Caenorhabditis elegans: one gene and its partners. The protein of the gene in region 1 purifies or fractionates together with the protein of each later gene. This does not show direct contact. Each region holds a gene or a part of one and is shown in the gene's direction. Other genes may lie near its edges.

Region 1 (7,158 bases):
TCCGTGGTACGTACCTAGTGAAGGACCCACTTTGAAGCATCAGAGACCGCATGAAGAAAGGGAGAAAAAGATGACTCAAATTCACGAGTGGTACCAAAAAGGAACAACGGGAAAATCGGCAACCAAGTTTCGTAAAGGGGCTTGTGAAAACTGTGGAGCAATGGGTCATCAGAAAAGAGATTGTTTCGACCGACCTAGAAAATCTAACGCAAAGTAAGTTCATTTCAAATTTAAAAAAAAACAATTTTCATTTCAGGGAAACCAATGATAATATCGCGGAAGATGACTACGTACAGCCGAATCTAACACTTGGATTTGATGCAAAAAGAGATCGTTGGAATGGATACGATCCATCTACTCATAAACAAGTAATTGAAGACTATGAGCATCTTGAAGAAGCTAGAAAAGTGGTCAGAGAGCATGAAATGAAAGAGGGAGAAGTTGAACCAGCTACAACGGAGGATGGAGCTCCAAAAGATGAGGATATGTATGCAGAAGATGCGGATATGGCTGGAGTTTCGGTGGATATGGATTCCCGTACTAGAATCACAGTGAGAAACCTACGAATTCGAGAAGATACAGCCAAGTATCTGTACAATTTGGCGGAAAATTCCCCATATTACGATCCAAAATCTCGTTCTATGCGCGAAAATCCATTTGCTGGTGTTGCTGGAAAAGAATTAGAAGCAGCTCGTTTTTCTGGAGATAATTTTGTTCGATATTCTGGTGAAGTAACAGCAGCAAACGAAGCCCAAGTTTTTGCATGGCAAGCCACTCGTGGTGGAGTATATGCTCACTCGATTGCTGAACCTACAAAGTTAGAAGCACTGAAAAAAGAGTATGAGAAGGAAAAATCAACTCTGAAAAACGAAACACAGAAAGAGTTATTAGACAAATACGGAGGAGGTGAGCACATGGAAAGGCCTGCGGATGAGTTGCTACTGGCACAAACTGAGAGTTATATCGAATACAATCGGAAAGGAAAAGTTATCAAGGGAAAGGAAAAAGTAGCAATTAGCTCTCGCTTCAAAGAAGATATATATCCCCAAAATCATACATCAGTGTTCGGAAGTTTCTGGAGAGAGGGTCGGTGGGGATATAAGTGCTGTCATCAATTCGTCAAGAACTCATATTGTACGGGAAAGCAGGGAATTGAAGCTGAAACGAGCGCAGCAAAAGGTACAACGACCTCAAACGAAGAAATTTTCAAAGTTCCGAAGTTAGTAGAGAAGACTGAAGTTAAAGAAGAAAAAGAGAAGGAAGATTCCATCAAGGATGAAGTAGCAGAAGAAAACAGTGATAATGATAATGACGAAGAAAAGGAAAAAGTATCAGAGAAGTCCATATCACCATCACCACCAAGTGACGATGAAGAAAAAGAAAAAGAACGCGAGAAGGAAAGGTTAATTGAAAAAGAACGAAGAGAACGGGACCAGCGGCGTCGTGATAAAAAACGTGAAAAGCGTGAACGCAAGAAGGCAAAGCTGGGGAAAAGAAAGAGGCGTCATCGCGATTCGGACGATGAAAGCGATCCTTCGTCGGGAAGTGGTTCAGAATCTGATTCTGATGAAGAAATGCGTAAAGCTATGAAGAAGGCGAAACGGGAAAAGGCCGAAGGAATGAAAGCTGCAAGAGAGGTAAGATTACCAATACTAATTTTATCCGGGTCGCTTAGTACTATTATATTCCTTGAAAATTCAAAATATAAAATACTTTGTTCAGGGTGATCGCGGCCGTAAATACAACACTGACTACTCCAACACTGCACCGAACGAAAAAGAAATGGAGGCTTATCGTGTGACAAGTGTTCATTCTGCTGATCCGATGGCAGCCTACATGAATTCCAAATTTGAGAAGAAACACACCAAGTAATTATTTGAAGTCGTCTCCGTAGTTTTTTCTCTTTATTGTTGTTTGTTGAAACATTTGTATTCAGTCTATTCAATAAATTATTCAATTCATGATCACCATTATTTTTTTAATTCCGATTTTACAAAATGCCCTTATTCAATAATTCATTTTCGAACGTCTGCGCCCAACTTCGTGTTAAATAATTTTTAAATACGTGCTTCAGTATATTCGTTCATTCAAAAACCTCCACGTCATGTTTTCTTGATCTGGATTTATTTACATTCTGAAAATAAATTCTAAGCACATCGATTCTGGTGAACGGCTAGAAAAATTTCGATTTTTCCCGATAATATTTCGTTCGTCTTTTTTCATTTCTATAGAAATTTCTAATAAAACGTTTTACTGGCGTAATTTTCTCCACTGCCATTATTTTGTCCGAGTGGAGTTCACGAGTAGTAAAGGCACACACTCTTTTGCGAATAGGTCTCGCAGCGAAAGAGGTACGCCGTCGTCTTTTTGATTCGTCCTTATTTTTTCTCCGGCCTATTTTTGATACTTATCGATCCAATTTCGGTTTTTATTTATTTATTTATTACTGGAATGATAAGGAAAGATGTATTTATAAACAATTACATTAATGTTCTATCAATTCTTCTTTACTTAAAGTCTCACAGTTTTTGCACCCTTTTTGGTTTTCTTGAATAAATGATTTTTCAGGTTCTTACACCATGTCGGAAGTTCCCCACTTCGTGCTCTATGAGCATGCAGCTGGATACGCTCTCATGAAGATTAAGGAGTTTGATGATGCTGGTCTTATCCTCCAAGAGGTACGTTCGCTCGAAAAAAGTATTTTTAAAATATCCTCGCTTATAAGCCGGGGGACTAGCCTTTGCTGAGTTCACTAGTAAAACGCGAGGAAAATTATAGAGACATCCAGACACCGATTATGTTGTGATATATTCGGTCACTTCGTATGTCCCACAGTTTAGTGCTTAAATTAACGCATTTTCAGGTCGATGCCGCTCATGCTGATGGATACAAGTTCTCGCAAATCGTTGAGCTTGCTTCGTTTGATCCGTTCAAAAACACCGAAGCTGCATTGGAAAACTGCAACTCCATCTCTGAAGGTAACAAAGACCGATAAGTTTTGATGGGGAGTAATTATTTTAATTATTAGGTCTCGCCCACCCTGATCTCACTAATTTTCTTCAAAAGTCGCTTCCAAAAAAGAAAAAACACGTTGTGCTTGGAATCAATGACTCGAAGCTTGCGGGTTCGCTTACTGAAGCGTTCCCAGATCTGAAGCTTGTCTTCGGAGGTGTTATCACCGAGGTAACGTGAAGATTCACAATAAACTCTTTGGAGTTTACCTGAATCTGTTACCGATGACGAAAACACATATTTTGAGTTTAGATTCTGCGTGGTACTCGTGTTCATTTCGAGCGTTTGGCCAAAAATCTCCCACATCACTCCTTATCGAAAGCTCAGCTTTCTCTCGGTCATAGTTACTCTCGTTCGAAGGTGCGTACCTCGATCGCGCTTTTTTCTCTAAATGTTTTTTGATAGGTCAAATTCGATGTGCATCGTGTGGACAACATGGTTATTCAATCGATTGCCCTTCTCGATCAGTTGGACAAGGATATCAATCTTTTTGGAATGAGAATCCGTGAATGGTACTCTTACCATTATCCAGAGCTCTTCCGTCTGGCTCCAGATCAATACAAGTACTCTCGCCTTGCTGTCGCTATCTTGGACAGAAACAAGATGGCTGAAAATGAGAACCTCGAGAATGAGATTCTTGGTAAGTATTATAGTTCAAAATGTAGATTTTGGGTAACCTCTCTTATAAGCCGGGGGACTAGCATTTTGTTAAGTTCACTAGTAAAATGAGAGGTAAAGCATAGAGACAACCAGACACCGAGAATGTTTTGATGTTTTCGGTCACTTTGTGTGTCCCACAAATATTCTTTCCTTTTTCAGAAATTCTTGACAATGATTCCGAGAAAACCGCTCAGATCATCGAAGCGGCCAGAACATCAATGGGAATGGATATTTCCGATCTCGATCTTGAGAACATCAAGAGATTCGCCGCTCGTGTCTCTTCTCTCATGGAGTATAGACAACAACTTCACGAGTACATTAAAGATCGTATGGACCACTGTGCTCCTTCTCTCAGTGCTCTTATCGGAGAACAAGTTGGTGCTCGCTTGATCTCGCATGCTGGTTCGCTGACCAACTTGGCCAAGTATCCAGCGTCCACTGTCCAAATCCTCGGAGCAGAGAAGGCTCTTTTCCGTGCCTTGAAGACCAGATGTAAGTCATGAAAAATGTATCATTAATTGATGGCATGTATTTAATGCGGGTGGATGATTTTAGTTCAGCCGTTTAGCTTGCATGCAAAATTATTTTCTATTGAAGATTTTATTCGCTGCACTCGGTCATATTCGAGTCTATGATTTTTCTGAAATTGGTACATTTTCAGCCAACACTCCAAAGTATGGACTTCTCTTCCACTCCAGCTTCATTGGAAAAGCTGGAACCAAGAACAAGGGTCGTGTGTCCAGATATCTTGCTAACAAGTGCTCCATTGCTGCTCGTGTGGATTGCTTCTCCGAGACTCCAGTTTCGACATATGGAGAATTCCTTCGCCAACAGGTTGAGGATAGACTTGAGTATTTCACCTCCGGAACTGTTCCAAAGAAAAACATTGACGTCATGAAGGAGGCCGAGGAAGCTGCCGTTGAGGTTAAGGAGAAGGTACAGTTTTGCGCAAATTTCCTATTTAGCATGTATTTAATGCGGGCAAATTGTTTTAATTCGGCCGTTTAGCTTGCATGCGATATAATTATCCATTGAAGAATTTTTAGCTGGGTTTCTCTCATTTTAAACTCATGATCTATCTTTTAAGGAAACAATCAATTAAAAATTGTATTTCAGGTCATCAAAAAGAAGAAGAAGGCTGCCAAGAAAGCCAAGCGTCTTGCTGAAGAGTCTGTCACTGCAACTGCTGAAGCTGAGGTTGACGAGGATGCTCCAAAGCCAAAGAAGAAGAAGAAGAGCAAGGCTGGAGACGAGTAATCTTCATCATCACTACACCACTGATCTTTTTTGTTTTATGAATGTAACTCCCCCATGTTGAACTATTTTGTTTTTGTTGACTGTTGGACCCCTACATCTTGTTGTTACTCTGTTTTCTTCTTAATGAATAAACTTGTATAATCCAGCGTAAATGTTTTAGAATTGACTTCACATATAAACTTCAGTGCGAGTAATGTTCGAAAGTGCTCTGTTCACTACACTACGCGAAGCCGTGTATTAAGAATGAGAGGGCGGCGTCAAAATCTCGAGAAGGGCGGGGCCAAGAGAGCAAGACTGGAGCTTAGAAAATGCACAACACGTCAGTTGAGACTCAGTCAGTCTCATAATAGGTCGGGAAAACAACCCTTTTCGTTCTTTTAGAGAGTAAATAATAATTTCATTAGTCGCCTTTATTGATACTGTCTTATTTTCAGATCTGTTTTCAAAATAATTATTAATTTCCAGTATTCTCTTTCTTTGGTCTTCCTACACAAAATGAATTGCCGGCTTTTTGTCATTTTCGTCTCAATTCTCGTTACGGTTTTTGCACAGGTACAGGTTTTATTCATTAAAAAAAGAATGGAGAAGAACTTTAATTATAAAAAGCTAAACTTATTTTAACTTTGTTTTTGCAAAAAAGCTCAGAATATAGTACTACTTTTGAAGAAAAAATCTCTAGAAGCCAAAAGTTTTTGATTGGAAGCGTTATTTTTTGGTAACTCTTGCCATTTGTGCAATTTGGAATGTAGAAATTCATATGCTTCAGTCTTGAATGGAAAACTTGATAAACTTTCGGTAGATAAAAAATTATGGAGATCGTGTCGAGAACCACCGAAAGAATGCACGTGTACCTTTAAAATGATGAAATCCTTACGAAACTATTTACGACAATTATTTAGAGAAAGAAAAATATTAAGAAGAATCAAAATAATTTGTCATTTTTAATTATTAATACTACCAGCCGTGGACCGCACCTCCGGCGCGGCCCCCGACTTCTGGGGCTGAAATCTTATTTTTCTGAAACTACCGTAACCCTACAGTATTCCTACCTTACCACTATTGTACCACTACAGTACCCCGACTATATCCCTACACTAACCCCAACTCACTATCCCCACAGAAGCCAAAACTTCACAGACTACAAAGACTACATTGACTACAAAATATGGACACACAGAATAAGCGCTTTTTATATAGTAAATGATTTTTGGATTCTTAGATGTATTCCTGGAATTATGAAATCTTCAATTTATCAAAAGTCACATAACCTGTGATTTATATTGCATGACAATAATTCCAATCAAGGATTTCTAAAGAATTATCATATTTTTTCTCCAAAATTTCTAATCCTTTTCTATCATTGTAGTCGCATTTAGTTTCATTTCAAAATGGAACTTCGATCTTCAATTGACGTGGTTGTAGTTTGCATGGAAATCGTTAGCATTTTCACCTGCATATTAATTGTGATTTCATTTACCTACGGGGAAGTGGGACAGATGATTCTATGTCAAAGTGATTAACATATTTAAATTGGCTCATGTGCTTCTGAATTTTTCAGAATTGTGAGGGTTTGGAGAGTAATAACACGAATACGTAAAAATTTGAACGGCTTTCTTGCCTAGCTTTTTTGAATAGTAATGTCGCTCGAGAGTAATGACGAATTTCACCTGGAAAATCCAATCTTAATGTATGTGCTTCTTCCTTTTCCCACAGAATAATTAAAATATAGACGTCTACGCAAAGCAATGAGCTCGTCTTAGAAGTTAACTCAAAGAAAACCTAGTCACTAAATTAGCAATACAGTAGTTTTATATCGTAGTTTCCCCTAAATATGTTTTCATGACGTCATATTTTATTTTTAAAAAATCTAGGACTTTAAAAATTCCAAGAAGATATATAAATCTTCTAGTTGTATTCAAATCACCCTATAGAATTGTATATTCCACATTGAAAAAAAAAATCATATTTTTCAACCTTTTCTAGTATAAACTTTTTCAACCAAACTAGTATAAACCTAATGAAGAAAGCAATTAATGTAAAATTATACTGGGATCTGAGTTTCTTCACAAATTCAAAACGAAATTATATCTTTGCAAAAAACTTTTATGAAATTTATTCTAATACCATTTATCAAAATGAAGTATTATTTCAAGTTGAAGACAAAGAACCTCTAGAAAATTACCATATAGTGTGACTTATTCTAAGAATATTTAAAAACCAAAAAAGAGA
Region 2 (4,178 bases), on another chromosome or scaffold:
TGTTTTCTTCGAGAAATGGCTTATTGATAATACAATTTTTAAGTTCAAGGATAGGTAATTTTCTATGTTTCTGATAACTTGATTTCTAACTGATATTTTCTAGATCTGGAAGCCCGTCAAGCCAAATTTCAATTGCAAGTCGATCTAGCAAGAGAGGAATGAAAATGCCAATAAATGCACATTGATAGAAATAAATCTTTCAAAAATATCGTTTTTAACCTACCTCTCCAAAATACATGTTGAACAGTTCGAGAACCTCGTTTCCATCAACACCTTTCGGAAGATTTCCAACGTAGACTGTTCTTCGAATTTCTTCGACTTTGGCAGAATCCGTGTCAGCCGGTAGAGGTGGATAAGCCGGTAGTCCGAGCTGCTCCAGTGTCGGATCGACTGTAATCAACTGAAAAATGGAATAATTAGACGGCGCGAAAACTAGAAATATTGCAATTTCTAAAATATCAGGAATTTGAAAATTTCTAAATTTAATTGCTTTCATATCCGACGATGCGCAGCATAGATTGGCGAGGATACACTGAAACTGAAAATTTAATCATTCGGCGAGTACTAACAAAGTTTTTTGATGATTTTCTGGATTACGCTTTCGGGATTTTACTGCATTCGTCATTTGGGTAGTGGCCAGTAGAACTGTAAAATGAACAAGTAACGTCCGTTACCACCAGACGCTAGTTGGAAAACTAGTGGGAAAATAAACTTACCAAAGCAGATCCATCGTCAGATTCTTGAATTTTATTGGTGACGTGAGGTGGGAGCTGTCGCTGACCAGCCGTTGTAGATCCACCACTGTTGAAAAAACTCTCCTCGTCCGGAATCACAGCTGAAAAAATGAAACTTTATGAAAAAATGCAGCTTTCAAAAAACTCACGATTCGGATATGGTAGGCAGACTATCGCGCAATCGATGACGACTGTGTTGGTGAGATGCTGAGCTACTTCGACACATCGCTCGTCGTCGAACTTGATAAAAGCAGTTTTCAGGAGAGTATTAGCTGTGATATTACCTTCTGATGGATAGACCTGAAAGAATAAATTTTTAATTGAAATTTTTAATCGAAAAATGTGTAAATTTGGAATAATAAACCAACCTTCAAATCCTGAATTTTTCCGAGATAGTTGAACATGTTGTAGATGTGATCCCTGGTAGCCGATGTCGAAATGTTGGCGACATGGAGAATTTTTACTTTTTCTTTCTCCTCCCCCGACATTCCTGAAAATAAAATAATCAATTTTCGTCTTGAAAAATAGAAAAACAAAATGTAGTTCAATAAATTTAAACCGGCGACGTAATTTCAAAATTAACATGTAAAAATCTATCGAAAAGGCATAAACTATTAGAAAAAGTTAGATTTTTATCGAAATTTCGTTTAAAATCGATAAAAATCAGATAAAACATGTAAAATTCAGGTTAAATCGAAAATAAATGCAGCCAAATTCGAATAAAAAAGAATCACTGCATGTTTGGCAGCGTGCCAACATCTTGTCGCTGCGAGACCCGTCCACTGTCTGCGTCTCTTTTTGGGCCCTTTTCGAAAATTACAAGTAGTTTTTTTCTCTTTTCTTTTGTTTCTCCCGTTGCCCGTTGTATTTTTCTTCGGAAATTAAATAAGTTGGTACAATAAATTAAAAATAAATGGAATTTTGATTATCTATTACTTTCAGATATGTTACTAGTGCAAATCATCGTAAAAATTTGAATTTACAGCTTTGAAATCGTTTTTATTATTTTTTCTCTTGAATCGATAAATAATTCTTTCGCATTGTAGCAATTTTCAACCATCTTTATTTCAGAAAAGAAGAAAAATGGCCGATGATGGAGTCAATCCGAAGGCCTTCCCACTGGCCGATACCAACTTGTCTCAAAAGCTCATGGATCTCGTCCAGCAAGCGATGAACTACAAACAGCTCAAGAAGGGAGCCAACGAGGCCACCAAGACTCTCAACAGAGGAATCTCTGAGGTAAGTGTATCGTAACCATGTTGAATTGCATTCCCATTTTCAAAATCAATTTTCGAACCAAATTAATTGAATTGTTTCAGATCATCGTCATGGCCGCCGATGCCGAGCCACTGGAGATTCTCCTCCATCTTCCACTTCTCTGCGAAGACAAGAACGTTCCATACGTCTTTGTTCGCAGCAAGGCTGCCCTCGGACGCGCTTGTGGAGTCACTCGTCCAGTGATCGCTGCTTCAATCACTCAAAACGAAGGATCTCAGCTCAAATCTCAAATTCAGAAGATCAAGGAGGACGTTGAGAAGCTTCTCATCTAAATCCTTCTTTTATCAATTTGTTGTTACGTTACCTCATTGTTGTTATATGATAATCCATTCATTGTTTTGTTGTCCCAAATTGCAAATACATCGTTTTTGAAAAAGAATGAACGTTTCTGCGAAACATGGACATCTGATTGTTATCAAATTGCATAATCGGCTACACTGTTCTAAAGTGTATCTTGGACACACAAGTACTTCATTGGCGTATGATGATGCGAGTAAATAAACCTCCCGGAACCGGTTGCATTCTAATTCGACCCCCGTTTGCCCTAGAATGTGTCTCTTCCTAACCATTGGCTTGCTAATTCCACCCCAAACGCCGTCACAACCCGATAGGGCCGCCAAAAAAAAGGCAATCGCTGATAACTACAGGGAGTCGCTTCCTCCGGGAGAAAAGACGGTTTCTGGCAAGGCAAGCACCGCCCATCTCCGTGTGCTCTGTCTCTCCATTCCCGCCGCTCCGTGTTCCCACCAACATGCAACAGTTTTCTCTACTCTTCAAACTATTTCTAGCCACAGTTTTATTATCTGTAACTTATCGCTTTGTATGTGATCGGTTATATTCAAATCACAAATCCGATGTTAGTGGATTTGTCGATGAACGTTTCGAGAAAGTTCGAGAGGTTTTTAAGTAAGTTCGACCTTCCTGCTCTCTTTTTTTCTCATTTTTCTACCCGTGTGAAGTGACAAATGTGTTTGACTGAACTGAAATTAATATTTACTTTGCCGGCATGCGTACAGGCAAATAATCTTTTTCTATCGTCATCTTTATTTTATTTTAAAAAAAAGAAAAGGAAAATGTCTTGCAAAAATCCTGGAACTTGTATTTTTACAGAAAGAATTTCGAAAATGGATGGGAAATCGAAGGATCAGCATTCGCTGTATTTGTTGATGGAAAGAAAGTCGTCGATTTATGGGGTGGATATGCTGATAAGCAGGCGGCAAGGAAGTGGGCTGAGGTAGATTTTTGAAAACAAAAAAAATAAAATCAAGCATTTTTCAATTTCAAACTTTTTTACTATAAATCTTGGGTTTTTTGCACCAAAAATACGGTTCCCCAGGTTTTTTTTCGATTAAAAAATAATTTTCCTCGAGATTTGGTTTTTTTTCCAATAAGTAAATTTGTTTTTATCGAAAAACTACGAAAAATCGATAAGAAAAATTCCGCTGCAATATAAGTTCAAAATTACAGTACTGTTTAAAGGTGCACACAAAAATACGGTTCCATAGGTTTAACCACGACACATTTATAATAAATGCGAAAAGACGTGCGCCTTTAAAGAATACTGTAACTTTTAACATCTGTTGTTGCGGAGTTTTTATCGATTTATCGTAGTTTTCTCATTATTTTCGTAAGCTTTTTTTGTTTCCATAATGTATTAAGTAATTAAAAAAATCATGAAACTTGTCGTGTCGAGACAGTATTTTTGACTCAAAATTTCGCACCTGAATTTCCAAACTTTAACCCAATCTAATACTTTGCCCTTATTTGGAATAATTTATCGTCGGTTTCCCTCATAGCTTCGACATATATTTTTCCACTGTCGTCAGATTGATATGAACTGATAATAATATCAATTTGATACGGGGAGTTTTTCGGTTCAAAACGGTTTTTGAAGTCTATAAAATTGAATGGAATGGCACAAAAACAGAGAAAACATTTTTGAAAAAAGTTGTGACATATCAGCAAAACACAAAAATTTTTAAAAAAATTGATTGTTTCAGGACACAATAACAGTGACGTTCTCGACTACAAAAGCTGCCGCGTCATTAGCAGTTGCACTGCTCTACGAGCAAGGAAAATTGAGATATGATGACCCAGTATCCAAGTATTGGCCAGGATTTGGAACTCATGGAAGAGATAATGTTACTATAAATATGGCACTTTCTC
Region 3 (4,696 bases), on another chromosome or scaffold:
AGGTAGCAAATTTTGATGATTTTTGGGTCAATATGGGTTTTAAATGTATCTTAATCGACGAAATTACATGATATAAACTACCAAAATATGCAATATAGGGCGAGAATTCAAAAAAGTCAACATCGGCCAGATGCGACACGGAAAAGTGGCCAAAATTCGAGATTTCAGCTAAAATCGGTGTCATTTTTTCGAAATTGTGAACCGCCATAACAGTTTGCGAAGTTTTATTACGAAATTCGTTCATTTGAGCTCATTTTGGGCCTGTGTTAGTCCTCCTTCAATAGAGTCCTCATGATTTAAAATTTCAGGGCAATCACGTTCATTCGGAAATTTTAGAGCCACAGAAGTGATGAAAAATAACCTCTCTGCAAAACGGAGCCATTAATTCGAGACTCGGCGGATGATGATCAGTCATATCGAAGCAAATAACATTTCCATCGAAGTTATCCGCATCGTAGTAGTATCCACCGCGCAGGTTAAACACCTTCACGTTGCCCTTTCCGTGCCGCCTGGTCAGAAATTGTTGAGTTTGAACTTTTGAGTTACGGAAATTCGCTTCGATTCCTGTTGCTGGATAACCGATAGCTATGATTCGGTCTGTGATATCTGAAAGTTTTGAAAATTGAAATGCTTTGAACTCAAGAGAAGTGCCTTACATGCACAATCTAGGTCGATATTTTGGTACTCGGTGCGACAACGATTGGAAGATACAGCCGTCCGAAAAATATGGCGAATCCGCTCGACGATTGAATTGTGATACGGTTCAGACACACGTGGTTCACCAGGTTGTCGGTTTGGATTCTCTTGAAGGTCACGAGCCATCGACCTGGTCGATGTGCTTGGCACATCTGGAGGAGGAGTAACCATTGGGGGTTAGTAGATGTACCTGGAAACTGCAAATTCATGAAGAGGAACGAATTAGAAGAGAATTTCAGCGAATTTTATAATTTAAACATTGTCAGGTGAAGTGTGATAGAATAGAATGCCAAATGAGCGCAAAGGATTAAGGGATTAACTAGCTCATGCTAAAGCTCAGATTTGTTCACGCAGAGAGCTCAGACCCGAGAGATACGAGAGGAGCAGAAAGACAGACTACATTTCCTCGTTAAGAATGAGCTGAAAAAGAGCTAGAAATCCGTTGAAAATCGCCAATATGCGTATTTTCGACTTAAAAAAAACAAGACTGATTTATTAGAAAATAATACCCGCCAGCGCCAATAGTAGAAGATCATATGAAATCATTTGATCAAAAAAGCAAAATTTTGGTCTACTGATTTATGAGCATTTTCAACCAAGAAATAGGAAGATTTCGGATATTTTTATAACCTACGTGTGGAAAATGTTTATTTGTATTGAAAAATCAAGAAAAAATGAATAAAAATTGTCGAAAAAGCAGATAAACACCGAAAAAGATCGGTTTCGCGGCGAAAAAACAAAATCCAAAAAATGTCTCTTAAAGGCGCACGCTAATTCAAACGGCACGGGTCTCGCCACGAACGCCTCTCTTCTCACTGCATTTTTCTCTTCTCTTCGATTTTTTTTTCGATATTTTTTAACGTTTTCCAATAGTTTTTATTGATTTTCTTGTTTAAAAACTGGCAAAAAACGAAATAATCGTTATTTATAAGTTGTATTTAGAGTCTAAAGTTTGTATAGTGCGATGAAATTCTTCGAAATAGGCGAAAATCAATTTCTTGTGATTTTCTTAATTTTCTCATATTTAGAAAATTGAAATTTCTGTGAATATTATGTACAAGAAAACCCCTTTTTGTTTTGCAATACCAATTTTTTCTATTGAATTTCTCAACAAATATATTTTTATGTCCAGTTTGATTTTATTTTGCACTTGAATAACTTTAAAGTTCAAAAATTGTTTGACATTTCAGAAATGAGTTTCCGTGGTGGACGTGGAGGCGGTGGTGGATTTCGAGGTGGTCGTGGTGGCGGTGGAGGCGGTGGATTCCGTGGAGGTCGCGGCGGTGACAGAGGTGGTGGCTTCCGTGGAGGACGCGGTGGATTCGGAGGGGGCGGCCGTGGAGGTTACGATCAGGGACCACCAGAGGAAGTTGTGCTCGTCGGTGTCTTCTCCCATCAGTGCCAAGATGATATTGTTTGCAACAATACGAGTGGAAAAATCCCATATTTCAATGCTCCAATTTACTTCAAGAATAAGGAACAAGTCGGAAAAATCGACGAGATTTTTGGATCCCCCGGGGAGAACGTAAGTAATCTCTTAATTGAAAATTAATCATAAATTTATTCGCTGCAGGGATTCTCCGTCACATTGTCACAAGGAGTAAAAGCCTCTTCATTCGAACCAGAGTCTCAGCTGTACATTGATCCCGGAAAGCTTTTACCAGTTGATCGTTTCCTTCCACAAGCCGGCGGAGGGCGTGGAAGAGGTGGTCGCGGACGCGGTGGGGATCGTGGAGGACGTGGCAGTGACCGTGGAGGTCGTGGAGGCTTTGGAAGAGGCGGCGGCGGTGGATTCAGAGGCGGGGATCGCGGAGGTTTTGGCGGTGGTCGTGGAGGATTCCGAGGCGGAGACCGTGGAGGGTTCCGTGGTGGCCGTGGAGGAGACTTCGGAGGTCGCGGACGTGGAGACTTCAAACGATCATACGATGGTGGAAGTTTCGGAGGACAGAATAATAAGAGAACTAAATTCGAATAATTGTTTCTTCTCTAAAAAACTGTATGTTCCAATTGTTTTCATCCTTTTTTTTTACCAATTGTTGATTTTCTTTGTTTTCCTTTTCTCATCTGCCCTCATTTTTTGATCACTTTTTTGTTGAACTTGTTGGTATTTTATACACATTATAATAATCATATAATTTAGTTATTTTATTTCACTAATCACACAGCGCTCTGAGGCAAGCATTTTTGGCGAATAAAATTTGGAGTTCGCATTTAAGCGCGCTTTGATATATCGTTCTTATAACATTTTTTAATCGCCGCAACCAAGTTCCAGCCATTAATTTGACAGATTACACTGGAAAATTATATATTTAGCTTGAGAACAAAATCTAGAAAGTAGTAAAGTAGCAATTAGCAATTGAAATTTTGCAATACAGGTTAACTTTTGAAATTTGAAATTTTAACAGAATAGAGCTCTCAATCAAAACGGCTGAAGATAAAAATAATTCTGAGCGATTTTCATTGTTCTAATCTCAGCAGTGTACATACTGTACCACGCCACAAAAGGCGGGGCCTAAATATGAGGTTTTCTGCAGTACACGCCACGCAGTTTTCTTATTTTGAGTGTATTGCGCAACATACTTGACGCGCAAAATATCTCGTAGCCAAAACTACAGTAACTCTTAGAAGGACTACTGCAGTAGCTACTGTAGCTTTTGTGTCGATTTACGGGCTCAATTTATTATGGTGCGTCCATAGTCTGCGGAAAACGAAAATTTCCCGCGACCCGAGGCGTCCATAGTATGCGGAAAAATTGAGCGAGTTTCTCGCTTCGTTATTGGTCAATTTCAAAAGTGGCCGTGCCCAACCAATTAGAGGCTGTAAAATTTTGAGCTGAACAATGGGAAAGTGGAAAAACTGCAGGCCACGCCTACTTTTTTGAATTTTGAGGAAAACAATGCGTGGAAACTCCGTTTTTTCCCTGCACTATAGACGCCTCGGACCGCGGGAAATTCCCGTTTTCCTGAGACTATGGACGCACCATTAAATGATTTAAAAAATTAATTGATCTACTTGTTCGATAATCAATGATAAATCAGCCAGATACTGAATTTTTTCAGTAAAATGTTCTTTAAAACTTTTTGAAAGTAACAATTATTTCAGTATTTTATTATTTCTTCCAAATTCCATCTAAAAAATTTGAACAATCGCGGAATTTTGTCCCATTCGGTAAGTGTGCAAGCGCGCTCTAACGCACTCTTTGAAGTTTCATTCTCCAAAAATCCTTGCCCCAGAGCGCTGTGTAAAATCTTTAGTTTAGTTATTTGAAATCCTTCATTGGCCTTTGCATTTCACGAAAAGTTGATCCAACGTTGGACATTGGAATCCCTGCACAGCAATGAGGTCATAGAATCCACCAAGAGAGTCCTGAAGACCTCGAATAATGGCTCCGAAGGTGTCCGGTTGGAAGAGCGCTTGACAAAGGTCATCATTAAAAAGGGGGCATGCCTCACCAAGCGCTGCCTTTACGGTTGCCAACATTGGATTCTCAAGAATGTCTGAATGGATAATATTTGGATTTCCAGAGAATAACAAACGATCTTACTATAGTTTATATACTTGAGAACATCGTAAACCAAGAAGCATAATGTGCATTGAGTATTGCTAACATCTTCACTGATCACCATGGCTTTGAAGTTGCTAGAACATTTCTCAACTGCAGTGGAGATCGCATTCCAGGATTTTTCAAAATTTTCAGGCGTTTTCTGGATTTCCGAATGTAACGTGAAAATGATCTGTAAACGTTTAGTATTTTCGTTAACGCAACAATTTAGATTGATTCCAAAATTCACCTCACAATCACTCATCTTGACTGCACATCCTTCGAATTTCAGACAATGAGCCACTGCATTGTCACTTGGAACTTTTACATTTTTTTCAGCGACCGCCAATCCCAAGAATTGACATGCGGCACATTGTAGCTTCAGCTGCTCCACGTGATTAACGTGGTTTTCCGAATTCGCTGCGGGACCCGCTTGGGCGACAACAATCACGAATAATA

The links. The genes of interacting proteins can lie anywhere in the genome.
Region 2: the proteins of nol-56 (region 1) and snu-13 fractionate together in Caenorhabditis elegans (co-fractionation; one large-scale study listed by BioGRID). This does not show direct contact.
Region 3: the proteins of nol-56 (region 1) and garr-1 fractionate together in Caenorhabditis elegans (co-fractionation; one large-scale study listed by BioGRID). This does not show direct contact.

The regions. Positions count from the first base shown.
Region 1 is NC_003283.11:10,348,389-10,355,546, reverse strand, and holds nol-56 (Nucleolar protein 56), read left to right. Parts: upstream 1-2,568; 5' UTR 2,569-2,579; coding exon 2,580-2,678; intron 2,679-2,710; exon of another isoform or gene 2,711-2,837; intron 2,838-2,863; coding exon 2,864-2,978; intron 2,979-3,028; coding exon 3,029-3,183; intron 3,184-3,264; coding exon 3,265-3,372; intron 3,373-3,417; coding exon 3,418-3,652; intron 3,653-3,684; exon of another isoform or gene 3,685-3,814; intron 3,815-3,831; coding exon 3,832-4,164; intron 4,165-4,193; exon of another isoform or gene 4,194-4,329; intron 4,330-4,333; coding exon 4,334-4,608; intron 4,609-4,634; exon of another isoform or gene 4,635-4,767; intron 4,768-4,788; coding exon 4,789-4,929; 3' UTR 4,930-5,076; downstream 5,077-7,158. Other genes in the region: sluh-7 (Pre-mRNA-splicing factor SLU7), read left to right, coding at 1-213, 257-1,637, 1,723-1,872; nssp-62 (Neuropeptide-Like Protein), read left to right, coding at 5,425-5,481. UniProt on the Caenorhabditis elegans protein: Required for 60S ribosomal subunit synthesis.
Region 2 is NC_003280.10:10,656,254-10,660,431, reverse strand, and holds snu-13 (Small nuclear ribonucleoprotein associated homolog 13), read left to right. Parts: upstream 1-1,805; 5' UTR 1,806-1,817; coding exon 1,818-1,973; intron 1,974-2,053; coding exon 2,054-2,284; 3' UTR 2,285-2,405; downstream 2,406-4,178. Other genes in the region: marc-2 (RING-CH-type domain-containing protein), read left to right, coding at 1-54, 104-185; rsp-7 (putative splicing factor, arginine/serine-rich 7), read right to left, coding at 224-400, 717-835, 884-1,034, 1,103-1,222; lact-3 (Beta-lactamase-related domain-containing protein), read left to right, coding at 2,764-2,918, 3,123-3,246, 4,013-4,178. UniProt on the Caenorhabditis elegans protein: Binds to the 5'-stem-loop of U4 snRNA and may play a role in the late stage of spliceosome assembly. The protein undergoes a conformational change upon RNA-binding.
Region 3 is NC_003282.8:424,282-428,977, forward strand, and holds garr-1 (putative H/ACA ribonucleoprotein complex subunit 1-like protein), read left to right. Parts: upstream 1-1,886; 5' UTR 1,887-1,888; coding exon 1,889-2,221; intron 2,222-2,269; coding exon 2,270-2,671; 3' UTR 2,672-2,923; downstream 2,924-4,696. Other genes in the region: Phosphatidylinositol 3,4,5-trisphosphate 3-phosphatase and dual-specificity protein phosphatase daf-18, read right to left, coding at 362-606, 657-867; Y66H1A.5 (Saposin B-type domain-containing protein), read right to left, coding at 3,970-4,193, 4,241-4,430, 4,488-4,696. UniProt on the Caenorhabditis elegans protein: Required for ribosome biogenesis. Part of a complex which catalyzes pseudouridylation of rRNA. This involves the isomerization of uridine such that the ribose is subsequently attached to C5, instead of the normal N1.